Oreochromis niloticus: one gene and its partners. The protein of the gene in region 3 interacts with the protein of the main gene of each other region in a pairwise test. Links are inferred from orthologs where the notes say so. Each region holds a gene or a part of one and is shown on either strand. Other genes may lie near its edges. The genes, in order: sap30bp, pak5, fhl3a and cnnm3.

Evidence for each region.
Region 1: the proteins of fhl3a (region 3) and sap30bp interact in binary tests that used the Homo sapiens proteins (3 or more experiments, as listed by UniProt). The two-hybrid records come from large-scale screens. The link is inferred for Oreochromis niloticus from reciprocal best matches to the Homo sapiens genes FHL3 and SAP30BP.
Region 2: the proteins of fhl3a (region 3) and pak5 interact in a two-hybrid assay, tested with the Homo sapiens proteins (2 studies listed by BioGRID and IntAct). The two-hybrid records come from large-scale screens. The link is inferred for Oreochromis niloticus from reciprocal best matches to the Homo sapiens genes FHL3 and PAK5.
Region 4: the proteins of fhl3a (region 3) and cnnm3 interact in binary tests that used the Homo sapiens proteins (3 or more experiments, as listed by UniProt). The two-hybrid records come from large-scale screens. The link is inferred for Oreochromis niloticus from reciprocal best matches to the Homo sapiens genes FHL3 and CNNM3.

What each region holds. Positions count from the first base shown.
Region 1 is NC_031973.2:25,197,120-25,204,330, forward strand, and holds the start of sap30bp (SAP30-binding protein), read right to left. Parts: upstream 3,018-7,211; 5' UTR 2,973-3,017; coding exon 2,861-2,972; intron 1,103-2,860; coding exon 993-1,102; intron 1-992. UniProt on the Homo sapiens protein: Plays a role in transcriptional repression by promoting histone deacetylase activity, leading to deacetylation of histone H3.
Region 2 is NC_031980.2:4,445,302-4,452,626, forward strand, and holds the start of pak5 (serine/threonine-protein kinase PAK 5), read right to left. Parts: upstream 3,013-7,325; 5' UTR 2,661-3,012; coding exon 2,606-2,660; intron 1-2,605.
Region 3 is NC_031976.2:27,158,428-27,166,305, reverse strand, and holds the start of fhl3a (four and a half LIM domains protein 3), read left to right. Parts: upstream 1-4,866; 5' UTR 4,867-5,105; intron 5,106-7,878. UniProt on the Homo sapiens protein: Recruited by SOX15 to FOXK1 promoters where it acts as a transcriptional coactivator of FOXK1.
Region 4 is NC_031972.2:10,683,076-10,690,575, forward strand, and holds the start of cnnm3 (metal transporter CNNM3), read right to left. Parts: upstream 3,003-7,500; 5' UTR 2,553-3,002; coding exon 1,857-2,552; intron 1,767-1,856; coding exon 1,432-1,766; intron 269-1,431; coding exon 92-268; intron 1-91. UniProt on the Homo sapiens protein: Probable metal transporter.

The DNA of each region.
Region 1 (7,211 bases), on a different chromosome or scaffold from region 3:
TGTGACAGCAGAGATTACCGGGGAATAGGAGAAGCGTGGAAAAATCAAAGATTGTAAAAACGGTAAAAGTACAGACAGCGCCTGCAGTGGACACTTCATTGATTTTAAACACTATTAATCTTCAGCTCTTTGTACATTGAAAGTTCGCTCTTTTCTGAGGCTGGCTGACAGACCAACAACATGACAAGTTAGCTCAAAGATCAGTTGTATCGCAAGTTGTTTTTTTTAACCCTGGCTCCATCTGACCACAAACATTCTCTGCAGGCAGACGGGCCATCAATGACCACCCACGGATTGCCTTCATGCAATCCCAGGTCAAGCATAAAGCAAGCATAGATAAGACTACATATGTGGCATTCAACATCAAACAAAGGAGGAACCATGGTTTGTCTTAACCAACCGTTAGCCTTTTAATGTTGAAGATTTCATCATTGATTAGTGGTCTTTGATCAACGGTCATGAGAATTTGCATCTTAATGATCAAGGAACTGACCTCCCAGCCCATTGTTCCTTCAGTGGTGCTAGTTTCAGTCATTATGCAAATGTACTGTTTATAAGATAGGGGAAACCTGCAGTCAGCTGAAACTGAAGAAGACACTTGGATAAGTGACGAAACATTTCTCCCACTGAAAACGCTACATCCAGATAAACAGAATCAACTTTTGGGGATGTTGAAAAATTGCATTTATGCTTAAAAGAAGTCAAATAATGTGACCCTAAAACTAAAGAAAAGAAAAGAGAAAAAAAAAGTACTTTGGTGATGCTGATTTTGTAGTGGGAAGATCCTGATTATGATGCAGATCCAACCAAGCAATCAGCCTTCCAAACCCCTCTGTACTCAGTGAAGATTCAATGTCTCAAAACATAACACATGCTCCGAGACCACACAACATGTGAACTGTTTTCCTGTCAGCTAGAGACATCAGTGGAATGGAACTGATTGATGAGTAAAAATAAAATCTAGAAAGCTAAGCACAGAATTCAAAACTGACCGAGTTGTTTTCTCTGCTGTCTTCATCTGCAGACTCTTTTTCTTCTGGGTCCACGGTTTGGTTCAGGTCATCCTCATCATAGCGATACACAAGGCTTCCTACACGCCCCCCTATTGATCGCAAGGGGGGGGGGGTCAAAGACACAGAAGTAAAAGAAATCAATTAGGCATCACTAGCAGCAAAATCATTCTTTTATTTCACACATAACTAATGAGTGATATCATTCTAACTATTGAAACCTCAAAGTAAGCCAGCCTATGAGACAACAGGAAATAGCCAAAGAAAGAGTTCGTCCTCAGTTTTAAATTGTCTGTTCTAGCCCTCATTGCCTATACTAAAGGCAACACTGGGACCTCACTAATGGTAATATACTCTGAAAACTTTACCGACTCCCTAAATTGGCACTTACTCGTGAATCCCTGCTCTGAAAGCTTCTGTGCCAACTAACAACCACATGTCATATGTCTCTCACTCTCAAGAAATTTACTTTAAGCATTAAAATTAGAAGAGCTCAGTGGACAATACTGATGTATATTTTATCAATGGGTTATTAATGTAAAGCAGTTTTACTGCTGGTGTAGTCGCTTCCAGTGGAGTACATTATGCACATCCATCTGTAGCTAATGACCACTTTCATTTGAGATTAATCCGATAATTATTCTGTCCAGTAACAAATTACAATGTGGGTTAGTAAAATTAGAATTACAATGATCTTATGTCACAAGTCATAATCCAGCAGTCCAGAAACAAATCAACAGTACATTTGTTCCCTGTGTGCCAACAAACAGGCTTTGGCTCTTTTAGAAAGGACGATATGAGGGAAAAAAAACATAATAAGGCCGACATGAAAACTGCCAGTGGATCACAACTACGGGAAAATATACTACATTTAGAAAAAAAATATATATACTACCCACATTCTGCAAAAGAAATCAAGACTCAAGCATAAGATTTCATTAACCAGTCTATGCAATTTGAGGACAAATTGAAATGAGATTGTTGTTACTGCCGGACATGGTCTGTGGCTTGCTCCATCCGTTTTAAAAATCTGTGAGCATCATAAGACTTTGCTCTACATATCTGTGAAACTGTGCGAAAGTTAAGAAAAAGGTTGTCTTTGCTTTTCTTCAAAGGCCCTTCATGAAACTGTATTTAAACTCTGTTAGGCAGTTTGATGACACTCATCTCCCTTAAATGTATCCAGTTAAAAAAAAAAGTGTACAGCCGTTGTCTTTGAGGAAAAACGTGTTTGATTAGTGGGTGCAGATTGAAAATGGTGAGTTGAAGAAATATATTTCAGATGCAGTGTTTTTTAAGCATTTTCAAAGTTGGGCTCTCGACTACCTCCAAACTTTCCGTCCATTAAAATGAATGGGATTGCGCTATCGAGCCGGTTGTTTTGAACGGTGATTCTAAAAAAGAGACTGGTTACTTGCAAACGTTTTCCACGAATAAGACTAGACTTTTTTGTTTTTTGACCACAACATACACCACTGGTGAGATTGTTGCAATCTCACCTCTGAGATTGTTGCAATCCCACCAGTGAACGAGGTCATTTCGGAGTCAAGAACACAACCTGGTATCCTGACACAAAACGCACCCTCCTCGGTTAATTAAAGACGCTTGTTAATTTCCGTTTGGCAAAAGTTTCTCTCAATAAAACAACACCATCCAGTGAAATATGCGCATATCATTTTTTACGAACAAAACAACATGAACATGAAGATCATCTAGAAAGTACGTTAACTAAGCTAGCTACATGCTAACGTTAGCTCCCACATGAAGTTCCGCAGTAAGGCTGGCGGAACTACAGCAAAGTATTTCATAGTCATTAAACGTATGAAAGGAAGTTAAATACTTTTATATACCTGATTCTTCTGGTTCAGGGTCAGAGTCGGGCTCTGAATCATCTCCATAGACCGCTAAAGACGACAGCAGCGTACTCTTTTTACCGCTCGCCATTTCTGTGTAGTATCGCATAAACGGTGGGTCGCAGAATATTCACGTCATCAAAACGGTAAGACACCGAAGGAACCGGTCTGGCACTGGGAAATGTAGTCATTCTATTGTTGTACCAGGAAGAAGCTTTAAAAATACTTGTGTAAACATCTCTTAGGCATTCATCCGTTACAGTTTACACCCAACATATGTACTTGGTATTGTAGGTATTGTACTAGGTATTGTTTCACAGACACGAAACACTAAACTACATTTATGCCAACCAAAACTTATAAAATCTGAATGATTTTATACTAATATGTCCAGTTGTGATGCTAAGACTTTTTAAAGTCTCATTTAAAATGTATTCTGCTTTCATACGCACTTAACCTGTGCTGCACATTATTGCATACATAACCTGTTCTATACACCTCCTGCAATATCTGACAACATGGTATTTGACTTTTTTGATATACTAGAAACACTAGATGCACAAAAACCAACACGTCTTATACACCACTGTAAAGCAAACAAACCTTCAGATCAAACACCCAGTATCCAGTAGGAGTTTAATAACAAAAATTATTTTGTTATTTTGCATTTCTGTGAAATGCTGTGAATATTTAATCTCTAGTTGTAAGAACTAATTAACATTTGGGAAACAAATGTGATCCATCTTCACTAATAACCCAAAGGAAGTGGTTTGAGCAAGCACTCATTCGAAAACTAGTAAATTGCTGTTCTTTCCTCCTGATTACATATGATGTGGTTTTGAATAAAGCTGTTATGATTCTGCTGTTGCCATACTTTTTGATGCTTGTGTTTCTGAATATTTTACTCTTCTGTGTGCTTTCTTTGTCCCCCTTCTCTACTCATAGCTGTTCTGTGCTTTTTGGGGGTCTCTTTAAGTTCCCTTTGCATTTTATTTTGAAGGTTAGTTTCTCACAGGGCTGTGTTTTTACTTCCCTCCATTGTTCTTTTACCTTCCTTCCTTCCTTAATACCTAGATTGAATTCATGTGTGTCTTATTATCATAATCCCCCAGCCTGGTTGCATATTTAATCACACTGAAATCACATTGAAACAGTCACTTTTTACTATGTGTGAGCGTAAAAAAAAATCACTAGATAAACATATGAATTTACACAAACATTTGTGTAGACTGATAGAATGGTTATGCATAATTTCAAATCACAATAAATTGGAATTGGAATAAATTAGAAGAAAAGGTTTAATAGTTATTAGTGTAATAGGGTTATGATTTTAGTGTCAGTTCATGCTATTTTTCATACAGCTGCAATATTGAAATATTTTCTTCTTGTAGTGAAAAGTAGTTTGAGTGCTCAGAGTAGAAAATCCAGTCCATTCACCATTTTACAATTCTTACAATCAGCTGCTTGGCAATGACGTGTTACAAAGTGGAACAATGGTTTGCCGTCTGTGATGTGGTCCGGCCATTTTTGCGGATACTGAAAAAATATATGGGCATTTTAATTTCATTCAAATTTTTGTTGAAGAAGCCTTAAAAAAAGAGTCCCATACTATGTAGCAAAGAAATTCAAAAGTGGAAAAGTGTACATTTTCTCTTTTATCTGAATACACTTAAATGACTCTGTCCTTTGAATTCTTCTGCCTTCTCTTCGTGTTCTTGTCTCCTGAGCTGCGGCAGCATCCGTACAGTAGAGCAAAGATGACCAGAGAGAGAATTACCAGGACAAACACTCCAATGACGGCAATACCACCTAGTGCCCACGGCTCCTGATGCATACGATGAAGGAACCACTCCACCCAGTCCTCAGGTGACCCTGTGGGTTTCTGCTGGTCTAGTGCACTGTATAGAGAATGATCAGCCAGATGAAAACCAGGTAAATATGCCCTGATATTTACCAACTCACACAATTTTTATTAATACCATCATTTGGCACTAAGAGCTGAAAGAAGCACATTATCTGCCAACTAAAAAAAGTTATTTCACACTCCAAATATCTAAGCAACAGATATGTTATATTCTTATTGGCACGGCCCATTAATCTGCAGATGCTAAGGGCTTTCGTCACCTAGCATATTCATTTTCAAAAACTCACCTCTCCACCGCCATGTCCTGCCAAGTGAACGGCTCACTGAGTCTTAACAGAACGTGAAAACACAGCAGAGTACGACAACAGAAAGCTTAGACTCTTCAACTGCTTTTCTGATCCACGAGCCGAACTAGAAGGTTTTTTTTAAATAGTCCAAAATAACAGATTACTTTCACTTCGAGCACAGGAGTGGTGTTCTGAATATGCAAACGTAGCACAGTTCCTGTTTGTATTTCCAGGTGACTGCCATTTCAAAGTAAAAGCAACAGCTCATGGTTAATGTTTAAACTCACAATGGCAAAGAGGAATTCTGGTGATAAGGAATGTGCACGATTGAGCAACAAGTCACTGATGACATTTTGATCCTCACTCTAATAGACTGTGGTGACTACAATAGGCATAAGAACAAAGAAATGTTTATTTAATTAAAGTATTTAACATCCGTTACATTTACAAAAGCAAGAAGGAGCAAAAACACATAAAAGTGGCGTCTCAGAAACACTGCCTTTCCTGTATGTCACACTACTATTTTACAATATAACGGGAATACATTTAAAACTGTTGCATCAAACAATGAATAATTCACATTTTCCATTGGCACGATTTGCTTCACTGAGCCAGCAGAGGGTGCTCTGTTTTTGAACAAAACGATGTTTCTGTTGAACTTTGTGTCCAGAGCACACATACATGTTGGAATGTACACTGTCCGTGTTGTTTCTCACATTCCTGATGAATGTGAACAGCATCGCAAACCACATTTGTAATAACTGAGTCACTGTGACATTTCAGGACGTATCAGCTTTTGTTGCCGTGTCTCTTTGCCAATGAAACTCTGCCACACAGTGTTTCATTGTTTTGGTTTATAATGAATCTTGATGAGTTGTGCCTCTCAGCTGGATTCCAGTGGTGTGGCTCTCTGGAGCCTTATCCAGTACTGGAAATATCATGGCACCAACTTCCCATCCTTGCCTGTTTTTGATACCCACTTAATTCTTCCAGAGAAGCCCGAAGAAGGATGGAGATGATGTTTCTAGGTGTGTTCTGTCCTGTCTCTTCCTCAGATGTTGTGTAAGGGTTGAACTCTTGAGGGCTGGTGCTTTGGCTTCGTAAAACAACAGCAGTGGATGCATGAGAGTAATATCATGAAGAGAACCGTGGCTGTGAGGAGGAAAACAAGACAGAGGGAGAAAAAAACAAAACAGAGACACGGGGTGGGGTTAGCACAAGCTGGGAGAGAATTTTGAGTCTAGAAATTTTCTACACAATTACTGGGTCCTATACTGTGAAGCAAGGACAGCATACTCAGGCAAGCTTAGTGTACCTGGGCACATGAAGGAGGTTATCAACTCAACAAGTCAACCCACAGCTTATTAATCTAGCTACAAGCATGTTCATTTAAAGTGGATAAGTCTACTGGCAGCAGGGTGACTGATTTTTACAGAAGAACATAAAACTACTTACGTTTAACTATTATTAAACGCAAGCACAAAAAACAGCTGCTGCAGGCAAACCAGCGTGGATGTGTGTGTTATTAAAAAAGCACTGTTGTGTGCTTTTAAGTGGTCAGTAAGACTTGAAAAGACCTACTGTTTGGAATAAGTGACTGGTGATTTTACACCTATTGGTTTCCTATCTCCACCATATACCCCACCTTTTATGTGAACTGCCTTCATATTACTGAATAACCCACAATTAACCCTTAAATTATCTGGATAAACCTAAAACCTAGTGATATAGGTGTCAGGGTTTGAGTTTTCTCTAGTTTTATACTCTTATTTATCTTTATGACTCTGTATTCTTTAGTGTTGACATTTAGCTTCCTATTATTCCTGTTATTTGTTCCTTTGGTTCCTGAGTCCCTTTAGTTCAGTTCTCCTGCTCTGAAGGTTCATTCTGTGTTTGTGCTTTTGTGATGGGATCTGTGTGTGAGCTCCATAGCCTTCTGTTTATGGTGTTATCTTTACTCTCTTTGTGCTTACAAATTTCCTGTTCTTCTTTGCCATTAGTTCCCTGTCTGCTTTAGTTGATGACAGGTTTGTTAATCCCCTTCTGTAATCCCATTTTGTTCCTTCTACCTTGTCCATGTGTTTATCATCTGTCTCTGTGTCAAATTGGTAAGGCTTAGTCTGGGTCTCAGTTTTAGTTAGTCCTCGTTTTATTTTGATAGTCTTATGCCTCGCGTGCTTCGTACTGACTGTTCCTT
Region 2 (7,325 bases), on a different chromosome or scaffold from region 3:
TTGATTAGCATTACCCAGCTGTTACATACACTTTTAATTCCTATAGAAGTAGTATGTGTATGCTAGTTTTTCACAAGACTCTAATCCTGTGAAAAGTTTATTTTTCAAATGATTGTATGTAGCTCTTGGTCCTTGTTTGACAAGAAAATAGTGATTAAAAGGAACCAAAGTAATTTATAGACACTGAACCAAACAACAAGCTAAATAGCTAGCACTTTTAAAATCGGCTAGCAAGCTAGCTAGTTTGTTTTATCTGTCTGAGGGTAACTGAAAACCAATTTTTGTTTTAAATAGGTGTGTAGTGGTAAATCCAGCAGTGTTATCAATATGAACAAAATCTATTACAGTAAACAGCTTTAGCTAAACGAGAGGGATATTTTAATCAAGCTTTCTTTTCACAAAAGACAAAATGTCTTTTGTTTTCCTTCTTGCACTTGTGGGTAAGCAGCCCATAGTGAAGGTGGAAACCCATGACCTAGATGGTACTTCTCGGGAATAAGATTATTAAAGGCTAGCAGGACTTAAGTCGTCAAGGCCAAGCTCAGCAGTAAGGAGACACAACAACACATGCAGACAGACACACATAAACACAGCACTGAACGTGTGTTAGACAGCAGATGGAGACACATGTTCATGTACTCGCCCAGCCCAAACGTACTCCTGCAGCGCTTTTAGCAGCTTCTTTCTCACAACAGTCACAAAACAAGTTCAGACTGAGATGTACTTGAAGCGTAGAGCCCACTGGGAATTGCTGCCACGCAGAAGCCAGAGGAACTACTTACTGCACAACTTCTCCAGGCTGCCGTACGAGCACCTCTCGAGCTGTAATTTATGGGCGCATTGTAAAGCACTTTGAGAAGTTTCACACTAATGCCTGCAAGGTTAGCCCGCCAAAGAGTAACAATGTCACTCTGATGAAAAACTGCACCTGGTAATATATGGCAGAGATTAGAGATTTGCAGAACCGTCATTCCAGCTGTGCTGAACTGCAGTGAGCTGCGACTGCGTGTGTGGTGAACGGCCTCGATCCGATTTTTCACCGCACTGCACAGAAGGATAAGCAGTTTACTCAAACAGCTAATGAAGCTATAATAAAGCATCCTGCCTCTTTATTTCCACTGTAACTCAACACATGGGTATGGCTGAAAACGACCGGTAATAAGCAGAGTACTGTTTGTAATGCAAACACTGATTTCTTTTAGAAGCTACACAACTACTAAAAGCTAAGCAGACAGACACTACTGCATACAAAGAGATCGTTTAGGATGCTGAGGAAACAAGTGATCAAACTGTTTACCTTCATATCTGAGTGTGTTGTATTCATTTGTTCATAAAAAAAGGAAGCGTGAATATCTAAAAAAGAAAGCACACTGGTGTGCGACATGCCTGCATACCGTTTAATCTGTCAGAGCAATGACATTTGATGTTACGAGAAGCATTACATAACATTTAACATCCTCTACACGCAAAAAAGGAAGATGCTCAGCCATCCATAGGCTCATGCAAATGCATTCAAATGTATTAACAATTAGCCTTCAACGTCATTTAATGGGATTCACAGTAACCACACACACACGCTATATACACCAACACACTTAAATGGGCTACTGGTCCCAGGGCAGAGATCCTGACTCCCAGGCTGATTTGTCTCCAAACCATCTGTCACCATCTGAGCCTCCACAGGCATTTCCCCTTCTGTACAACAGCACCTCAACAGACACACACACTGCAGTGAACCGGGGAGTCTGCACGTGTGTGTGTGTCAGCATTCGTGTTGTCTGTGTCTTGTATACACGCTGTATCTATTTTTGGCGCACGCTTTAATGTTCTGTGGCAGCAGAGTCTATTCATCATGTTTTCCAAAGAGCACATTAATTTTCTGTCCTTTAGATTGTAATTTAGAAGCATAATTTGGTATCGAGACGCAGAGCATTCACTCATGCATTAAATATGCAAATACATTTCATACATAATTTAAAACGCAACATGAAAAAGGACATAAATGCCTTCTGATAAACAAGCTGAGGGAGGGCCAATGCTCTCTACTTTGTTTGTTCCTACAGAGAATAGGAGGCACTCCTAATTTAATTAAAAGGTCAACAGGTTCATAGTGAAAGCCTAAGCCCGGTTTGCCCTTTGTGTTCAAGAAATTACCCGTGTTTCTGTTTAGTTTTACTTGAAGTGGTGGCAAATGAGCAAAGTGAGAAGCAAATGTGTCCCTGCATCCTCACAGGTAGTCTTTGTTCCCCCTCCTTCCTCTTTTGTCCTGCCCTGCTCTGTTGTCTGCTGTTCACTTCTCTCTCATTTGCATTCACTTGTTCTCTCTTCACCCTGTTCCTTCAGATGATTTAATTGGCTCCAAAAACTGTTTACACAGACATGCATTTCACCTTCCGTTCCCGAAAGATGTATTTCGTCGAGCGGTAAACAACTCGGTCTGATGGAGAGGCTTTTAAAAAAGATTTTTATCATTTGCACACTGTTCACAACAGTTTGTAACATTCCTCTCTCAAATGAGGTTTAAAGATTTTGGGAGCAATGGGAAGCTCCAGCTCTGATTATAAATATACCTTTACACACAGACTGCGTGAATCAGAGGTCTTACCTGGCAACAAACTGACGGTCTCTTTCAGCCAATCAAAGCTCTCTGGGTAGGCCATAATGAGGCAGACAATTAAGTGCTCCTCAGATGTTTCGCTTTGATGTCAAATTACACTCCTGACAAATCCATTATGCGCCTCAATTTTCTTTGCACAAAAATCACTGAACAGCGAGTCCACCTCTCCAGTTGTAAGCTGATGATTCCCCCCGGTGGAGCGATGCTTATGAGAAGTCATCGAATTGACAAATCAGGTCACACTCGGGACCCTCTGCGTTCCCCGGCGAACTGTTACTAGTAATGCTACCCTGCCTGTATGCTCTGATAACTCCCAATGTGAGATGCACAGGACACGAAAAAGTGCCTACGCCAGCAGCCCGGGCCGAGGCACGGCCAGACAGCTTAAGCCTGGACCCATCCCATTTTACGTTTATTGTTTGTCTAACTGGGTCTGACCGGCCGCGTCCCAAACTGAGCTGCCTCTGACCTTCACTGTCCGCCTCCTACTTACTTGTCCATCAACAGAAGCACAAAAACAACAGAGCGTGAGTGTCCTCTGCGTCCCCACAATCCACAGGATGGTGTTTGTGTGCTGGTCGCTTTGGCCAACACACACACACACATAAAAACTGTCTTCGACCGATGCCAGCGTGTGTGGATATCAACGTTTGTGTCAAGAGCTGCATCACTAGGCGGCCTATCACTGCCTCTTTCACACGGCAAGTCACAGGGAGGAAGACAGAGAGTGTGACGGAGGAGATAAGATGGAAGAAAGAGAGAAAAAAAAACAGCTGGTCCAGTCAGAGACTGTGACAGTCTGGCCGTTTGCCGACAAGAAGGGGACATTGAGCGGTGGCAGCCGTGGACAGGCCTTGTGCTGAGGGCAAACAGTCCCACAGAAGCAGTGCCAGGCTGTCAGGATAACACTGTACAGCATTTTTCCCTTACAGAGAGAGAGAAAGAGGGGATGGGAAATTACACCTATGCAAGGCAGCAGGCCAAATACAAATAAAATATTGAACGCACTGTTGTTTTCAAATAATGCCAATATGAAAAAAAAGGTAGCCTGAGCAAAAGCCAAGGGATGAAAGAAATCTGCAAGTTTAGTATATCTAATGTATACTCGTGGACCGCAAGGCTGATGATACGGTACTTTTTAGGCTTGAACAGAGATTGCTGCTGGTTGTGCTGCACATGGATGTGGAGCACATCCTACTGCATTACTGAAAAACTGAATTGGAGGCACAAAGAATGCAATGAACTCCTGAAAGAACATTCATTTTTAGCAGGTACTCATTGCTATGTGTTTTAATGGTCAGGAAATGAGACACAAGAAATGTGTTTCTGCAGACAAATTTAACTGTAAGCATTTGTGTCATGTTACATCAAGAATTTAAGGTCCATTTCTTCCTGAAGACCTGAAACAAATATTACAGGATACATTTTTTCCCTCAAAAGAGTGAACTCTGACAATTTGGGGTTCTTTTTGGTTAATCACTTGGGAACAAAGGAAACAAACAAGTGTATGACATATCTGTGTTCTCATGATAAATGAGGACTGTTTTTACTTTGCCAGTCACTGCTGCAACCCAACCCATGTCAAAAGAGCTCAAAGTTTGAAGGCAAGCCATCCCATATTCCAGTTTGCGTTGCACATTTCACAGTTCACCTCTGCCTGGCAATAATTTTGCCAGTGTTTGCAGACAAGTTGGGGTGTTCCAGGTTGCTAGCTTGCAACCTGCTAGCAACCAAAGCACAAAGCACAAGGAGGTTTTTTGGTGCAGCGCCACAAATCTCTCTACAACCAATTTCACACACGTGAGTGCCAGAAACCTCCATCAACCACTCACCAACTTTTTGTGGAATCCACCAGATGGTTGCCAGATGGCCCCTTAATGGTCTCCAATCCCATGTAAATGGGGCGTAACTATAAATACTTGTCATTAAATAAATTTGGCTTATTTTGCAAAATATCAGCTTTTCATCTGATGATGATTGTGAATCATTATATCTGGATGTAATGATGTATGTAATTTTTCTAACTGATTTATCAGCCTTATAGATGTCAGTATGTCAGGCCGCTCATCATGCAGTTTTCTGTGGCATTCTCAAAGTGAAGTATGGTCCCACTCCCCTTAACAACCACAGACCAGTAAAATCAAATGCTAAATGTCAAGTACTGTTAGGGCAACAGTTTGAAATTATTTGCAGTCACTGGCTCTTAACATTCGAAGAACAAAACACTCAAAACTTAAATGGTCAATTTAAAGCAATGGTCTAATTTTCGGAGTTCATGCAATAAAAAACTATATCGTTTTTTTTTTTCCTTTGTTCAGAAGGGAAAATTTGTTGTTATGCAAAAAATAAATAAATAATTGTCTTTATCATGTGGTTTGTCACTATTAAAACACTGGTTAATTTAAGGAAAGACTGTGAATTTAATTCCACATCCTATATACGCAGTCGCACATGGAGATGGCAACATAAGCATTCTGGAGGCGGAAAGCTTCAGACTATATAAGTAAAAGAGACGGTTAAAATAATGGCATTTCACGCTGATTTGGCTAAATACCACACTCTTTAAGAGCATCAATACCCTCCACATGTCTAATGAGCGGGTACATCGTAGCTGTCACAATACAGATGCACGTGATGCTTGACGCAATCATAATCCCTGCAAATGACAGAAACATTTGCGAAAGGGAAATATCCAGGTCAGCTGCTTTCTTCAGGTCTCTCACCGATCTCTCACTATCGAGGGAAAGGATCAGCTAAAGTTGTTATCTCATCATGTGATAACATAATAGATGGATATAGCAAAGAAGGGTGACTCTGGGAGGTACCGAGAGATCAGGAGAGTTATCTAAATGAGATCTTTGCAGTCCTGAGGACAGAAGACTGCATATCACTGCCTGAGAAAGCGTGTGTGCAGATGTGTAACCATGTCTATATGTATATATGTGTATAGCTGTGTAAAAGGCTGACCCCAAACTAAATCTGTCTCTTCTTTTCAACGACTATTATGTGAATCGAAGATGAAATCTCACAAAAAAATAGAACCTTTTAATATTACTGCTTTATAAAGAACCAATCAATACAAATGTTCTTGTATAAACCAGCTGAACATGACCACCCAGGTTTGCATGCCATTTGAGAGAAAAGGATGTTGTTAACTGGGACTGACTGACTGATCTATGCATTTAGGACCACTTTTTCAGGTCTAGGTCTTCTGCTGCAAGCTCAGTAGATTAGTAGATCCTCTTCCCCCGCCCCAACCTCCAACTCCTCCTTAGGCGTTTCCAGGGAAGATCGGATACAGTATCCCTCCAGTGTGCACTAGAGCTGCTTTCAGTTAGCCCGAAATACCATCAGACAATGTGAAGGAGCCATACTTCCACCTTCAAATATCATTGCTCCTAAGTTTTAAACTGAACCCAGGCACCACTACAACTCATCCTTTTGATAATACATTTATTTAGTTTATGACCACAGGTTGATTATTAAGTCATAAAACTCATTTGGATGTTAGCCCTTCTCAATATGCACAATATAACTCTATCTGTTGATCTAACAATTCATCTTACTCCAGAGCAAGTATATAATTACATTTTTTATCCCTCTGCTGATATCGGTCATCGTGCAAACAATTAATCTTGTTTTACTGCACAGCAGCGTTGCACTTAACATGATTTTATTGCAGCCCACTGCTGATTTGTGATGGGCATCAGACATAGTGGTGTCTTCGAAAAGTGGGAAGCATGATTATGCATCACATCTGCTGCTGCTGCTTCAGCTGTTGACTGTTTTAATAAACAAGACAAATCTTCAGGCCAAACATGAATGTATTACGAGAGCTGGATTATGTCACCCCTACTCAGCCTTTAATGCCAATTTTATCCCGTCCCAGGGGTCAAGTGAGGTATTACAACCAAAAAAAAAGCTGCTTTAAACAAACCTATATTCAAAGGAATATAATAAATTACTTTAATACTGCATTGAAAAATATATTTAATTATTTTTTACAATTAATAAAGAGGTCTGTAAAGCTGTTGAGTTTTGATCTTTACATTATTATTTTTTTCCTCACCAAGAATCCAGTTCTTATTATTTATTATAGCACGTGAAGCCAAACTAAAACCATCCGACCATCATTTCAGTGAATCCTGGGCATTCATGTTTCAATGTTTCAAAAAAATGTTTTTCCTGATCTTACATTTTGACAGCCTCTACTTTAGGTAAACACAACACAGGTACAGTCAACTATCGGACAAAGATGCATCGTTTCCTTGCATCCAACTCCTTTGTCTGAGTCCAGGCTTCAAAAATATGCAGCTCTCCAACACATCTATTCAGAATGAATTTGCCGGGATTGAGATGTGGAGTAATAACACACTGACACAACAGAAAAAAACAAGCTCCACTGTGGAAAAAAAAACCACTCATAATATTGGATTCCTTAGCCAATAAGCAAAGGTAGATAAAGTGCTGCTTCTTATCTGAACCTGTACACTGATAAAGAATGAAGGAATAACCATTATTCAGCCCTGCCATCGACACTATCAAGCACGTGAAAGGAAGGCTATGCCATATGGTATTAGTTTCAGTGCCCCAGGGCTAACATCTGTATGCAGACAGCATCCACATCTAGACTGAAGAGACAAATGTTTCTTTTTTTCCGAGACTGAAGCAGCCTTTTTGTAGGCCTGCCATTTCACTGAGAAGCAGT
Region 3 (7,878 bases):
GTAAAATGCCTGGTGAGCCACGGCAGGGGTAAATACTACTTTGGAAATCAGGGACTTGTAACGAGCTGACACAAGAACAGGAGCACAACAGCTTGTGGGTTTGTTCATGGTCAGCAATGGAGGAATGCCCTTGCAGGGCAGATGCAGAGCCATTGGGTTTTCCGATATGACCTCGTAAAAATAACACTGCTGACATATTGTGAGGCTGCTGCACTCGGGGTGAGCTCAGGACTTTGGTATGTCTCCCCTGGCCGTGGTTGGTCTTCATCTGCAACGGGCCATTTGACCAACCCAGTCGAAAAATGCACGGGCTACAAATTTCTCCTGTGATTATTTAGTTGTATCTCCTAAGAGATTGAATAAGTTGTTGCTGTCAGCGGTGGAAAGTAGTGTTAAGGAAATTCTATTTACATCATTTCTATTTTCTAGTACTTTATTATTCTTAGATGGAAACATCAAACTTTTTACAACATCTGGCAGCTACACTTCAAACTGACTTTAGAATTCATTAGAGTGAACCCATTATGCCTATTTCTATATCCATAATGCCTTTTTCTTGGCACACAATTTAATATAATCCCTATTTACTTCATACCAGGACTTCATGCAGTTGCTCAATCATCTACTTTCAAGATGCTGTAGTTCTTCCCCCTTTAAGGAAACCTTAAGGCCAACTTTCTCCTGATTGGCTGCCTATTGCAAACAGAAGATGAAGATGTTTTCATGTAGTTAGCAATTCTGTCAAGCATCTTTCCTCTTATGAATTCCTCATATGGTTTAGTTTAGATAACTAAGTAAGTAAAATGACCCAACATTAAGAAGAAAAAAAATGAAATCAAAGAGGATTAATAAACAAAACAAGAAGAAACACTCAGTATTATATTATATAATAGCAGACATCATTTTACCCCAGAAGGATCCTTTGAGCACCCCAGATTTATCTTGTGACTGACATACTAGATAGTTTAAAAGCATTTATATTGATTCAGTCTAATGGTGTAACATATAGTAATGTGATGCCCACGGTACATATTGAATGCATAGCTTTTCCCTTGTAATAGAACAGTGTTACATTCTGCTTCTTTATGCCCAGTTCCCAGTAAATTACAACATAGGGGCACTACTGGGTGGGATTCTCACAATAGTAAGTTAACCACAAACTCTTGTAAAACAAAATTGTCTACTATTAAGTGTTGATATGGTGCTTATTTTCTCTGCTTGAGTTTTGAGAGTGTATATTGTGCCATAACTGGTTTTATACTCCAAGCAATCATGGCGGCAAAGTGTAGAAAAAAGGGGTAGGGTTTTTAGATGAGACCTGATGTGCTCTGTAAATAAGCTCTAATTGCTGATATCATCAAAAGCCTTTGTTTTTAAATCGATAGTCTTGTGATAGGTTATTTTGAGCTTATCTTTGATAGATGATAGATGGTGTACTCCACGTGCTTCTCTATCTAAAGCTACAAAGATATTGTAAATTCAATTTAAGTATCCAAACACCCTTTGATTTTGTGCTGTTTTGTGCCTCGCACCACTGAATATGACAATATTTTTATTACATTATAGCTGGATGTCACGATGTCCACTTGCCATCATGTATCTGGTGAAAACACACACAAATTGGTGCAGGACACATTTAGATATCACTCAAGTGGGGCATTTAGCAATTTAGTAACACCATTGGTCTTGTGCTCAGGGTCATGTTGTTCATTTGAGCTAATTTGCCTCAGATGTTTCAAAACCACACATCCAAGAAAAGAGCGTGGTGTGTGTAGCAATACACAATAATCAAGAAAATTCATTGCATAGCATTCACTTTAGACATTATGATCCATTTCTGTTCATGATCAAGTCACATTCAGTTGACTCATATTAAACCTTTAACTTGTTTTGCAAAACTAAAACATAAATGTTTAAGGTGAAGGTCACAGTTAACTTGGTTACAAAGTAAGAAACTCATCGGACTATCTCGACCACGATGAATTGACAGGCCTGTAATCCTGTAATTTGTTTCACACAGCCTGATGGGACCACGCCTCGGAGTGTAAAATTAGAATTCATAATTAGGGGGTTGCGTGGAAGTGAGGGGTCAAATGAGTGTGGATCACACTCTTTCAGTTTTCACAGAACCATGAAAAACAACGTGCCACATGGTCAGAGGGTTTTGTTTTAAACTTTAAGGTCAAGGTCAAGGTCAAATTTATTTATATAGCACATTTCAAACAGCCAATGCTGCACAAAGTGCTTAACAATATAAAAATGGCATTAAAAAGCAACAATGTAATACAATAATAACAATAAAAAACAATAATAGGACAATAAAAGAATTAAAACAATAACTAAAACTAATTCAAATAAGACCAAAATGCTTGGATCATAGTGTGTTAAAAGCCAGGGCATAAAAATGTGTCTTTAGTAATGATTTAACTTAATATGACTTTAACTTTAATGACTTTAACTTAATATGGGCTATCCTCTGTTGCTCGTCCATAAACAATCAAGAAACAACGATGCCATATTAAGTGAATCAAATTAGCAGGAATTTATATTGTAGTATTTAATACTTCTGAGCACTGGCTTTCTTGGAAAAGTCTTATTTGAAGGAGGAGCTTATTGACTGATCGCTGTTCTTATTTACTGATTGTCATTGAAGGGTGGTGGTACAGCTTACAGAAAGTATGTCCACAATCTAATACAAACATCTAGTCAGTTATTTATCATACAGTGAAGAGATGTTTTCATCTCTCTGCAATACATTTAAGTGAAATTTGCTTTAAATAGTGAGTTGAATCGCATAACAAATAGCTAACAGATAGCTGAGGATGGACACTTTTTCTTGATCAGAGAGTTTTAAGTTACTATGTTAGTGCCTTACAGCCAGAGGGCTTGTCAGATGGCTAAAACAGTATATGAAACCTTTTTGCCCTGCACACTGGCACATTTCTGAAACTGTCACTCCGCACACATCACCCAGAGACCAATCCTGTTTTGTTAGGTGGAAGTGAGAAAGCAGGATAGGTTTGAAATTCTCTTGCATGGTCTGTTTTTGTTGTTTGCAAAGCTGTTTGTGACACTTTTTATTGAAATGCAGTGTAACGTGAATAATGTCTCCCAGGAGAAAGCGTGCACCACTGTTCACATCTGTGTGGCATTGTGACGTTTTTTACTTGACCTTTATGTGGCCTTTGATTGAGGCCATCCTAAAATAAGAGTATCAAATAGCTTGCCTTGCAAGAAGCATATAAACCACAGTGAAGGTTCGAAAATTGAGATCATCAAACTGTGAGAAGATTAATTACTGGTTCAAGTCACAGATATGGTCATATGGTGCGGTGGCTATTATGGTCTTATCTCCGCCTTACTGAAAACTTGCAGAGCACCCTTAAAAGGAAAATCTGTGAGAGGGTCTTCAGTATAGCTGCAAACAGCAGCATGTAATAATAACAATACTGACATCCTTGAAATGAAGTCCTGCTATGAGCTTAAACAGTGGTTAAAAACAGCTTTTTTTGGCCACAGGATGAGCTTAGGGGCGGCATCAAAGCAGCATAGGCCAGTATGAGGTCGTCAAGGATTGCTTTGAACTGTGAACTGCAATACAAAGATATGCTAGTAGACTGAAAATATGGAGTTGGAAATTAGCACCACAGTTCTTTAATTACACACATTGAACTGTTAAATGTTGAGGTTTTTTTACCAATTCACAAACAGTTATTTTTTGAAAACTTTTCCTACAAAGAGTGTAGTCTTTGTGGTCTTTGCTATGTTTGAGCTGCTGCTGTGTATATGGTTGAATCCCTAACCACAGAAAGTGTATGGTGACTGCCGACCTGAACATAATGTACTGTTTATCATGCATGGAGGCACTTGTGCCAACGATACTGTGTTTAATGGGTTGGGAACATACTGATTCACTATAATGACTCAAATGGAGATATCAGGATCATTCACTGTATGACAAAACAGCAGCCAGCTGCATCCAGGGGAAAATGTCACTCCCACTTGTTGAGTCATGACAAAAAATGAAACATGGGGAGTGGAGAAATGACCCACACTTTAAAATAGGGAAGTGTAATTTAACAACTGGGTTTGCTCTTTACCCTTTTTGGTAATGTAACTGCATGAAAAGGTCAACAAATGTCACTTAAAAAGCAAGAGATTTGTGTGTTTTAGAAAAGCAAGAATGTCTTAATACATATCTAGGCTGCTTGCTGCTGTTCACTTTCACCAGTTAATATTTATACTTACACATTATTTAGACTATAGGAAATATAAAGTCTCTATTTGAACCCAAGTCATTAATATCTGGAATTGATCTGAGACCAAAATGTCAGAGCATTTTAATCCTATTATATGCATCCATTCATGCTTTATTTTTATTTATTTTTTTATGTTTTTATCGTAATGTATTTTATTTTTTCCCCCGCTTCTCCAGTTCAGGGTGCTGGCCTGGCTGGAGTCTATCCCAGCTCTCATAGAGTGGTCACGTCTCATGTGTATTAACTCTAAACATTGCATGGGAGGTTCACAGATACTTTCAAATTCATCTGACAGACTTTTTACTTCTGTCTCCTAGATGCTTGATTTATTTACTAACCGGCTGATTGCTTGTCAGAATTAATTAAGGAAGCTCGTGAGCAGTATCGCCTTCTCCAACATACTTATTGTAAGTAGGTGTTTCCTGTTAAGGATATTAACTCGGCTATAATATGTAATTCTACTAAAACTGACAGCAGCACGGAAAAAATAAGGCCCGGTTGGGATGTACCCTCCACTGCCTAGACTACTCTCAGGTCTCGTTTGAAGTCGCTGCAGGGAGGGAGGAAGGGAGGAATGTTTTTTGGGGGGGCGGGATCTTGTGACTCACCAGCAACTTCCTCAGTAGTAGGACAAAAGTAGCCGGCAAGCTGCATCCCTCTCTGCCGCAGAGGTTTATCAACAGTCAGAAGAAACACAAAAAGTTGCACAGTTGCGGGCGACACGTCGGAGGAGCGACCTGCGAACTGATCCCAGTCCTGATCTGAGCGAGTGGCTGCTGACACAGAGGAAGAGGCGGGTTACCACTTTGAAGTTGCAAAGGTGCCTCCAGACTTCAGAGACTCCTGGTAGGATTCAACTTTCTTTTAAAAATATATACAGATAGATAGTTATATACAGACTTTTCCCCTTCTTACTATCACGGTATTCCTTTTACTAAACGATGAATATACCTTTAAAACAGGAAATTACTTCGCTAAAGATGGATCATGGCAAAATAAAGTAACTTATACATACTGATTCTTGGTGAGGTATTCAGCTGAAAATACAATTCACAAAGAATCTCGAGTTTAAAGAACTTAAAGTGTTGTAATGACTAGTTGTGTCATTACTGTTTTATATTCAGTAAATTGATAATAAATAACAGCCTCTGATTGTGTCTCGTGGCAAAAGTTGACTCTTTGTGAAATGTGTTTTCAGCTGAATAGTAATCAGCTTACTGAAATACTGATTATTATTAGTTGCGTTTCATGTGGTTGAACTGGTAGCACTGCACTTAACTGCACAGTATGAGCTTCATGTATAATTTAACATCTTAAGATCACATTTACTCTGCACTTTTCATGTTGGGAATTGCAAGATAAGAGCAGGCTTGGGCTTGACATTATGACAAGTATTAATCCTTCACACCTTAGTCAAACACAGGGCCTGTGGATAAGCCTGCAAAGTAAAACCCAGAGACATGTCAGGGGGCCTGGATCTTTTCTGTCTGTCTATATGTTTTTCTCCTTTCTTTTCTTTTCTCCTTTCCTTTTCTTTGTTATTGTAAAACAGTATATGCATACATGCAAATGAGGCATAAAACAAATAATGTCCACTTAATGGAGAAACAGAGTGTGTGTTAGTTTGTGTGACCCACTGAACTGTGTCGAGGAAGGATTAAGAAGCAACTTTTGTACCACTGAAGCTCCCGGCTGAGCAACGTGTGAAGGCCTCACAGAGCAAAGTCCCTCGGGCTTAACTTGTCATTTCTCCAGCGGAACAAAGTGGGGTATGGCAGTGTGCGTCTGGGATGGGTGTGTCCGTACTGCAGCTTCGAGGTTTCTGTTGGGCGTGTATCGTGACATCATAATGCATAGTAGCAGTGTCATCCTTGTGGTGATTGTTTGGTGTTTCATCTGTTGTGTCATGCGGGTGCAGTGGGCATGCGGTGAGAGTAACGTGTTCACAAAGGGATAAAGTTTAATCCAAGGATTGAAGATGGAAATGGTGTTTATTTTTGTTTCTACAGCGTAAGCAGATTACAGACACAAAGTATTGTGTTTTGTCTTGGGTATAGTTGGAAGGGCTTTCAGGGACATAACAACTGCTCTTGTGCTGACACTACATGTGATGTCAAGTTACAAACTGAAGATGCAAATTCAGTTTTTCCATTGTGTTAGGAGGATATTTATTACATTGCATTGCCTGTAACAGATCGTTAACATACAAAGATTTGGTCAAGTTAAACTCTAACCATGCTTTGAATCACTAGGGATCTCAGAAACACAGAAACTATTGTGCAGCACTGACATATGGTATTGTCACCATATAAAGTTGATATGGCACTTACAGTTGCATATTTGCATATCCAGCAGATAAGGAACAGCACAGGCTTTTGTTTAGAGCTCTGAAGCTGGCCAAACAGTGATTATAGCTGGGATATTGACTTTCCTTTCTTAGTTTTGTTCTCTCAACTAGTTCCTCTTTGTTAGTTTTGTCTGTCTGGAACTCAGCAAGTAGTATACAGTCACACTTTCCAGCTTTAGCTGGGAATAGGGTTTAATGAGAGCAGAGATACGCAGTGAGCATAATAAAGTTAGGATGAGGACACGAGAAATGAGAAAATAATGAGGCAAAAATGCTGATACTCTTTGCAAATGAAGGAACCTGCAGATCTGGGTGATGTCTTTGTGATGAGCAACTGCTTATGCATAGTCTCTTGATCCATTGTTAAAATTAAAATATTATTAGATTTAAAGTAAGGGCTTGACTCCTGAAACCTAGTGGTTCCTTAAACACATGTGTCATTGCGGCACAGCTGAGGCCTAGGAGACAGAGGCAGTCCTCTACTAATTAGAAGGTCACTGGTTCAATCCCTGACTACTCTAGTCTGTATGCTGAAGTATCCTTGGGCAAGTTTTTGAGCCCTGAGTTTACCCCAGTGCATACATTGGTGTGTGAGTGTTGCTCATGATGGTTAGGCAAGGTGCTTATACATAAAGTAATGTGATGAAGACTTGTAGTAGAAAGTGCTTCGAGTCCTCATTTAATGCAGAAAAATGCTAAATGAATTATTAAATAAGGTGTGTTTTAATGCAAAGACAACAAATGTTCAAATCAGCATTAGATCCAGCACCCTTGTTTTCTTTGTGTCACTACAGAATTGAAGGGATGTGCTCTTTTTGAACGCTCATTGTGCTTTCACCATTGACAGGTTATGTTTGTTATTTTTACACAAATGCCTTGCCACAGTAACACGCAGAAGTAATACCCTAGTAACCAAAAGACAGTCATTCTGTCCCATTTAGCATCTGGGAAGCTTGCCTTGACAGAGCCCACGGGCTGTATAATGTATTTGTTTGCTTTTTTCCCTCTTCCTCTCTCCCTCTCTGTTTCATTGACCATGGTCACATTCTTCAGAGGTCTCAGTGTTTTCTAAAGGTTTCTCCCTGCATGGTGGTTGGACCATGGCCAGCTCTAAACTGTAGTGGGACTGCAGCTAAATGAATTGTCTGTAGCTAGTTTTATGTGTTGGCACCATTTGAAATAAGGCCAAGGATAATGATGGAGGAACTGGTGGTCAAGTGTTTGCAGGTGGTTTGAGAGCAGAATATAGATTTGTAAAGAAGTGGTTCTCCC
Region 4 (7,500 bases), on a different chromosome or scaffold from region 3:
ACTCTGTTCAGATGAGGTAAATGCTGCCATGTCAAGTTTTTATGCCGTGTTTTTTTAAGCTGTTAAGTGAGTGTCGTGTTGCTGATCCCACCTCTCTTCCTCATAAATGGGCACACGGGTGTAACCACTCTGCATTATCTCAGACATAGTGGAGAAGTCTAGGACAGCCGAGCTAGGCAGCATGAAGCAGTCTTTCAGAGGTGTCAGGATGTCCTCCACAGTCTTAATGCGCAATGTCCCACGACTGAACTCCTCCTTTACAAACTCACTACAAACATAATGAAGAAAACAACTAAGTCAACAATCAAGTCAATTATCAAATCTTCTAGGCTAATCTTTAAGAACCAACTTCAAGTCAGGTCTCAAATCCTACAAATTTAATGCAGACTAGTCCTAAAAAAAGTCTATTGAACCAAGTTCAAGTCGAGTCTTAAATCTTTTGAAAATGAGTCTGAGTCCAGTCCCAAGACTTAATCTGTCTAAGGTGTTAATACAGTTAGGCCAATACACACATCAACCCTCACTTTGGATAGTCCAGGTAAAATGTAACGTTCTTTTAAAGGCAAGTCAAACTGAAGTCTCAAGTCTTCAAGAGTCTTGAGACTTAATCTGGTTCAAGCATCAAATTTTTACAGTGTTAGGCCAGGTCAGGTTTCAAATCATTACAAGGCTACTATGGGGTCAAATGTGAAGTCTGTTAAAAAAAACAAGTCTAAATTTCAAAATACTCTCAAGACTTTTAGGTCACGTGTGATTCAAGTTTCAGGTCTTTCATGGGCAAGTGTTAAGAAGAATATAACAATTGTGAAGTCTTTAAAAAGAAGTCCACCCTCAGAATAATCTCAAGTTTTTTGGACTAATCCAATTTGAATATCAAGTGTTTAGAGATCTAACCAAAGACAACCCCTAAAAAGTCAAGTCTTTCGGGTTCAAGTTACATTTCAAGTTTTTACGAATGATGTTCCTGTTAATCATTGGTTATGCGAACAGTACAAGAATGCAGTGGCCAAAATCACACAAAATGCTTCTGTTAAAGTAAACTGGCATTAATCATGAATCAAAGCATCTTAATGTGTCAAACATTTTAATCAAATATTAAACTCAAACTTAGCAAAAAGAGTCTGTGTCTGGAACACTAAATTGTTCCTGTATGTCAGTGAATCTAACATAATGTACCATAAGAATTATGCACTGTAGAGTATGACAGAACACACTTTTTGTTGGTTATGTCCTATAGTGTCTTTTTTTCTAGTTCTGTTTACTCTGTAGGTTCAGAAGCATCATTTGTGTTTTTCTTTCTTAAAAAAAACAAAAAACAAACAAATAGATTGCTTGATAACAGTTTTTTTTTTTTTTTTTGACCAAGTGTCAATACTCATCGCACCTCTATGTCAGATCTCTGTGATACTCTCCCAAGTCCACTATATTTACCTGTAAGGATCATTCACGTTTGCCCGTATCATCTCCATGGCCCTCTCCCTTATCCCACAGGTGCTGATGTCTCTCCTCAGCCCTAGATCCAGAATCAAGCCCAGAGGGCAAGACAGGGGGCAGGTAAGCACCATGCAAACCTGGGCCAGCCAGGTCAGACCAGGCGCTAGCTGGAAGCCGTAACCGGAGCACAAGATGTGAGGAGCCAGCTCAGCTAGGAAGAAGATAAGGAAGCCGCTGTTGAACACCGCAGAGGCGATGGAGCCCAGTGCCCGGTACAGGAGCACACCGAGGACAGAGTGCCCCAGAGCACACAGGAACAACAAAGAACATGCCTGCGGTGGAAAAGACATGCGTTTAGGAAACACTACTTCATTTGCACCTTTCTTTCCCTGTGGCTTCCCCACGTGCTTTTAGAAACTTACCATGAAGTTCCCCCTTCTCCTGATCGGCTCCAGCCGTTTGGCGGCTCGTTTCTCCTCCTCGGATCCACAGCTGTGTAGGACATAAAGCTCGACTGGGTCCAGCCACAAAAGGCTCAGGTTCACCGTCCTCAGCAATCCGCAGATCATAAGCACAAGCACTATCAGTACGGCCAGACCCCACGGCGGGATGTAGTCTGCAGGCAGATCCGTGTCGGTGTTTATTCGCAGTCTGTCCAGACCCGTAGATGTCCATTTCTCTCCACTCCACACACACAGGTGGTAGTATGTCTGCTCGTTGCCAGCTTCCCCCTCAGAGGTGCGAACCTCCACAGTTAGAAGCACGCTGTGCGCATCGTCGAGTTCTAAATTGGTCACCTTTAACTTGGAGTCCTGGCGGTTGGACTGCTGCTCGCAAGGGTCCAGTGTATCACCGACAGCTCCAGCCGCTCCGCCAGCTGCCCCTGCGAACTCGACCGACGGCAAGCTTCCATTCAGATTACACCCGAAGAGACGGAGCTTAAACGTGGCTCCTTTTGGTACTGAAATGATACGACCCTTCATGCACAGCGGATCCACTGGTTCTTCCAGTCGCAGCCCCAAAACCTGCGGAGCTTTCTGGCTGCAGGCGCCGTACCTGATTCCGCAGAACAACACTATCATCAACAGGAACCGTAGACCTGCCAGGCTGGCCACCATATTGGAATTGGTCAGCTTGGCTTTGCCTGGATCACGTGACTTTAGCCCCGCAGCGGCCCCACCCCCCGGGGGGTTGAGCCAACGAAGCAAAACAAACAGCGCAACTGAGCTGCGCGGCGGCCATTACGGTTCCAGACACGCGCGTACAGGCCTGATCCGCGAGTGTGGATGTGTCGTACATCTTGTTTTTATTGCGTCACATGCCTTTCAAGAAGAGCCGAGTGCAGCCTGTAGTGAATTTAAAACAGCGACAGACGCTCGCTCCCATCTTCTGTCACAATTTAAAACTGCATCACTTTGGGCCTCTTCTGTTAAACTAATACAGCTGTCAGTACTGGGAGAAAATATCACTTGTAGGCTGTTTGGACCTTTTTTTTTAGGCGGGCGGACGACCATGATGAGACCAAGGGGAAGCAAAACGGAAAACATGAACATAGGACAAGAACTACCAAAGTAAAACAGGAAACATGAGACAGTTCACAAAGACGCAGACTAACACGAAGCACAAAAACAAATGTAACTAGACGTGGAACCAGTGTTGCCAACTCCTCAGTAAGGAAAATCCCTATTGGTTGTCCTAAAAGTCGCTAGAAGTCGCTAAATGACGTCATCACCTAATTTGCATAATTGGTCATGCTAATGTAATTGTAACCTATGTTGTTGGAGAGAGAAATAACATCGTGGAAGAGACATAAAGTGAGTAAAAAACGTCCTAAATGCATTTAGAGTTTATTTAGAACTACAAATTAAATTTCTTTTAGCAATTATTGTTTTTTTTAATGTCACAATTCCAACCCTGCTCCTTTACCCGGGCTTGGACCGGCAAAAGTGGCCCGAAATAGGCACTCTGGTGGAGTTACTTTGTGTGTGTGTGTGTTTATAAGTAGTTTTAAACCTTGTGATCCACAAAACAGCATAAGAGTAAAAGAGTAAAAGAAGAACTGACTGTGTTACAGCACCCGCTGCTTGTTCAGAGTAAAAGCGATACGCGCTTTCACGTCTTTTTTAGCGACTTTTTAAAGAAAAAAAGTCGCTAGGGGGTCTGAAAACTCGCTAAATATAGCGACAAAGTCGCTAAGTTGGCAACACTGCGTGGAACATAGTTTTTGTCTGTATGTCATCAAATGAAAAATACAACAACTGAACAACCAGCTGTTAAGTAGCTAGATTCATTCCACTCCAAAAATCCAGTAGCTGGTCTCCTCAGCTCCCAGACGTTTACAGACTGTTGTCAAAAGAAGAGAGTGGTAAACATGTTTTATATGGGTTAATATTTCCTGTGCTCTTTAAAGATATTTAACCACCATTTGATGTGGTGGTTGTAGGTTGTAGGTGTCATAAGGATTTGCCTTTTAGATAGATAGATGCTATAAACGCCACCACTGTCACGTGAGCATTCAGGTGAAGCCCTGGGTTACCTTAGCGAGTTGATAACGAGCTTCATGTGACCATTTATCCTGATCGCGATTGTTAAGGTAAGTGAATCCAGATAACATAAAGATACCCTGAGTGTGTTGAACGAGATTTGTGACATAGGGTCCAGGTTAGGTTCCAGATTAGAGATTACCAGGTATAAAATCACCAGTTACTAACCAATCAGGTCTCCAGAAAGTGGTGCGACCACTGGAAGATTCCTTGGAGTTCTCCCGGAAAAGCAAGAGGATCAGTAGTGTCTAAAGTCTTTGTATTTCCTTGATGGTACTATACAGAGAGCCTCAGATGCAGCTTTACTGCTTGATTTTTTTCTGTAGGTAGCAGTTTTTCAACAGTATTGTTATTCTATAAACGCTAATATATTCTAACATAGGACAGAATCCTTGCTGAACTCAAAATCATACATAGATTAAGCTTATGTTTGAATTCTGTTTTTAAATTTAATCCTCTTTTTATATTTAATTCAACAGCATTAACTCCGCAACTGGAAGAATAAAAATAAAACTTTTGGGACTACATTATGTTATGTCTGGAAGTGCCATGTTTTACTGATTCTTTTATTTGCAACGTGCTAGTGCTTTATAGAATGTTAGCTGAGGCAGGGTGGGACCGGTAATATGGGTCAACAGTGCTACACGCAGCCCATTGGTTCATTTTCATTACCGACACTGGATTGCCCAATCAAATCTTTCAGCGCAACCGGCCTCTCCCGTACCTTCGCTGTGCCCTTACCCATCTTGTAAAACTGTGATAAGTGTGGAAGAAGTAGCGAAAAGGTGGAGCTAAAAAGCTGAAAGAGAAATAGAAACTAAAAATAAATGCAGCAAAATGTTTAACCGACATGTAGAATATGTGCTGCATCGTGAACTATATTACCCAGTAACAACTAGAAACCAGGCCTCACAGAGCGACAGAACAAGGTGTAATCAACGTGGTAACCAAATTGATAGAGGGACATAATCAAGGATTCAGGTAAAATGCGTGGATGCTTTGACCATGAGCCATACCTAATAGTTAAAGTGTAGCTTTTAAGTGTCATATGCTGCAGGGCAGTGAAACTAAGAGCTAACCAACAACAACTGGACCAACCTGATTATAAAGAAAGCCTCTCAATATCAATGAATTATGTACATAATCAATATAGATTTATTTTTGATGCATTTTTGTGAATGATCATGATTGGTCTCCTGGACAAAAAATGCCAGGCCCAATTTATTTGTGCCAGACTAGCCCTGCGCTAAGGGGATAGATTTTATGTGTGCAGGTTTGTTAAGCCGTACCTGAAATCACTGCAGCGCTACGGTTTTAATTTGATCATTTAGAAAATGTCATTATGCTCGATTCTAATCTCCTGCTGCTGGGATTGTAACTACTAGAATACAGGATTCACACCAAGAATACCTGTTAAATCAATCAAATTAATTCCACTTTGATCTACGACAAACTATTTCCATGTCTCCTTTATTAGACAATAAGCTTTAATGCTTAATTGTATCCTGTCTGAAATTTTAGAGCTCCAATGTACAGCATTCACCTCAGAAATAATCAGCAGCACTGAGAGTGCACTCGGTGATAAAATAATTAACTTGAATTAAAATGGCTAACCGTTGTTAGTTTTCCCCCAACAAGTCTTCTTGGAACAGCCACTGGCAGGGTGACTGTGCAGAGGTGTTGTAGTCCACAACAGAAGTGGAACACCACCAACTTGTTCATCTGTTTGATAAATTTTTCCACCTTACTGACACACCAGCTGAGGAAAAAACTCTGGTTTTTGGGAACCGTATACTTAGAAATGTGAAGCTAGAAACTCCAGCAACCCTTGTAAAATCCATTCCAGGGGCCAAAACAGGCAACAATGAATCCAATTACAAACTGCCGCCTAAGGATAAGCATAAATAAACATGCAATTCACATTGGCAGTAATGAAACCCTATTACATCAGTCAGAGGTCACTAAAATTAGCACTGGATCAGTGTGTAACTTCTAAAGTGAAATTGGACTCACATTGGAGTTTTGTTTTTTTTTTTGATACATTCTCCATTTTGACTAGCTAAGCGACAGCTAATTATCACCCTTCAACTGCTGGCTGACCAGGTGGTGTCCAGAAAACAATGTAAATTTTCTAGACAATTTTAAGACTTTGAGGAAAACTGAATTTTATTAGAACTAACTTTATCAAACCCACTCTGGATGTTCTAAGTCTGATTTCGAGAAATAAGGCCAAATGTATTAAACTATAACTGTAGTTCAATAAGGACACACACACACACACATATACACTCAAGCCCATAATTATTTATACCCATGGCAAATTTTGACTTAAAGATACTTTTATTGAACCAGCAAGTTTTTTTGACCAGAAATGACACGGATGTCTCCCAAAAGATAAGACTATGTACAAGAGGCATCATTGTGGAAAAAATATATATATTTCTCAGCTTTTGTTTACATTTTAGCAAAAGGTGTCATGTCCAGAATTATTCATACCCTTCTAAATAATCAGTATAGAAGCCTTTATTGGCTATTACAGCAATCAAACACTTCCTATAATTGCAGACCAGCTTTTTGCCCATTCATCTGAGCTTCAAATCTTTCAGTTGCCATTACTGTGATTATGTTCCCTGGTCCATTGCCCGAAAAACACCCCCAAAGCATTAGGTTCCCACCACCATGTTTAACAGTTGTGATGGTGTTCTTTGGGTTGAATGCTTCTCCTTTTTCACACCAAATGAAGGAAACATCATTGTGACCAAACAATTCAATTGTTTCATCTGACCATAAAACAGAAGACCAGAAGTCTTCTTCTTTGTCCAGATGAGGATTTGCAAAGACCAAGCAAGCTTTTGTATGCCTTATCTGGAGAAGTGGCGTCCTACTTGGTCTGCATTAGTGGAACCCAGCAGTGTGCAGTGTCTGCTGGACTGTCTGCCTTGAGACATTGCCACCAGCAGAGCCCAGATTCATCAGTATGGCCTTGGTGGTGATCCTTGGATTCTTTTTCACACCTCTCACTTTCCTCCTGGTCAGCACAGGTGTCACTTTTGGCTTCCAACCAAGTCCACAGTGCAGAACATGTTGTATTTTTTAATAATACTTTTCACTGTAGCAACTGGAACTTGAAAACAATTAGATATGGCCTCATAGTCCTTTCCTGACTTGTGAGCAGCCACAGGTCTTCACTGAGCTCCTTTATCTTAGCCATGACTGTCCACAACCCAACTGCAGAGAGCCGCTGTTTTTCACCTGTAGAGCAGATTAAAACAGCCGTTCCCAATTAATCAGGGTAATTAGTATGCTTTAGAACAGCTTGGACTATTTGGAATAGTCCATTTGGAACTTTGGGTTTTACCAGAGACTTTGTGAAGGGTGTGAATGATTCTAGACATGACACTTTTTGCTCAAATGTAAACAAAAGCTGAGAAATGCACATCGTCTTATTATATTATCTTTTGGGAGACACCTATGTCATTTCCAGTAAAAAAACAAAAACAAAACAAAACAAAAAAAACATAAT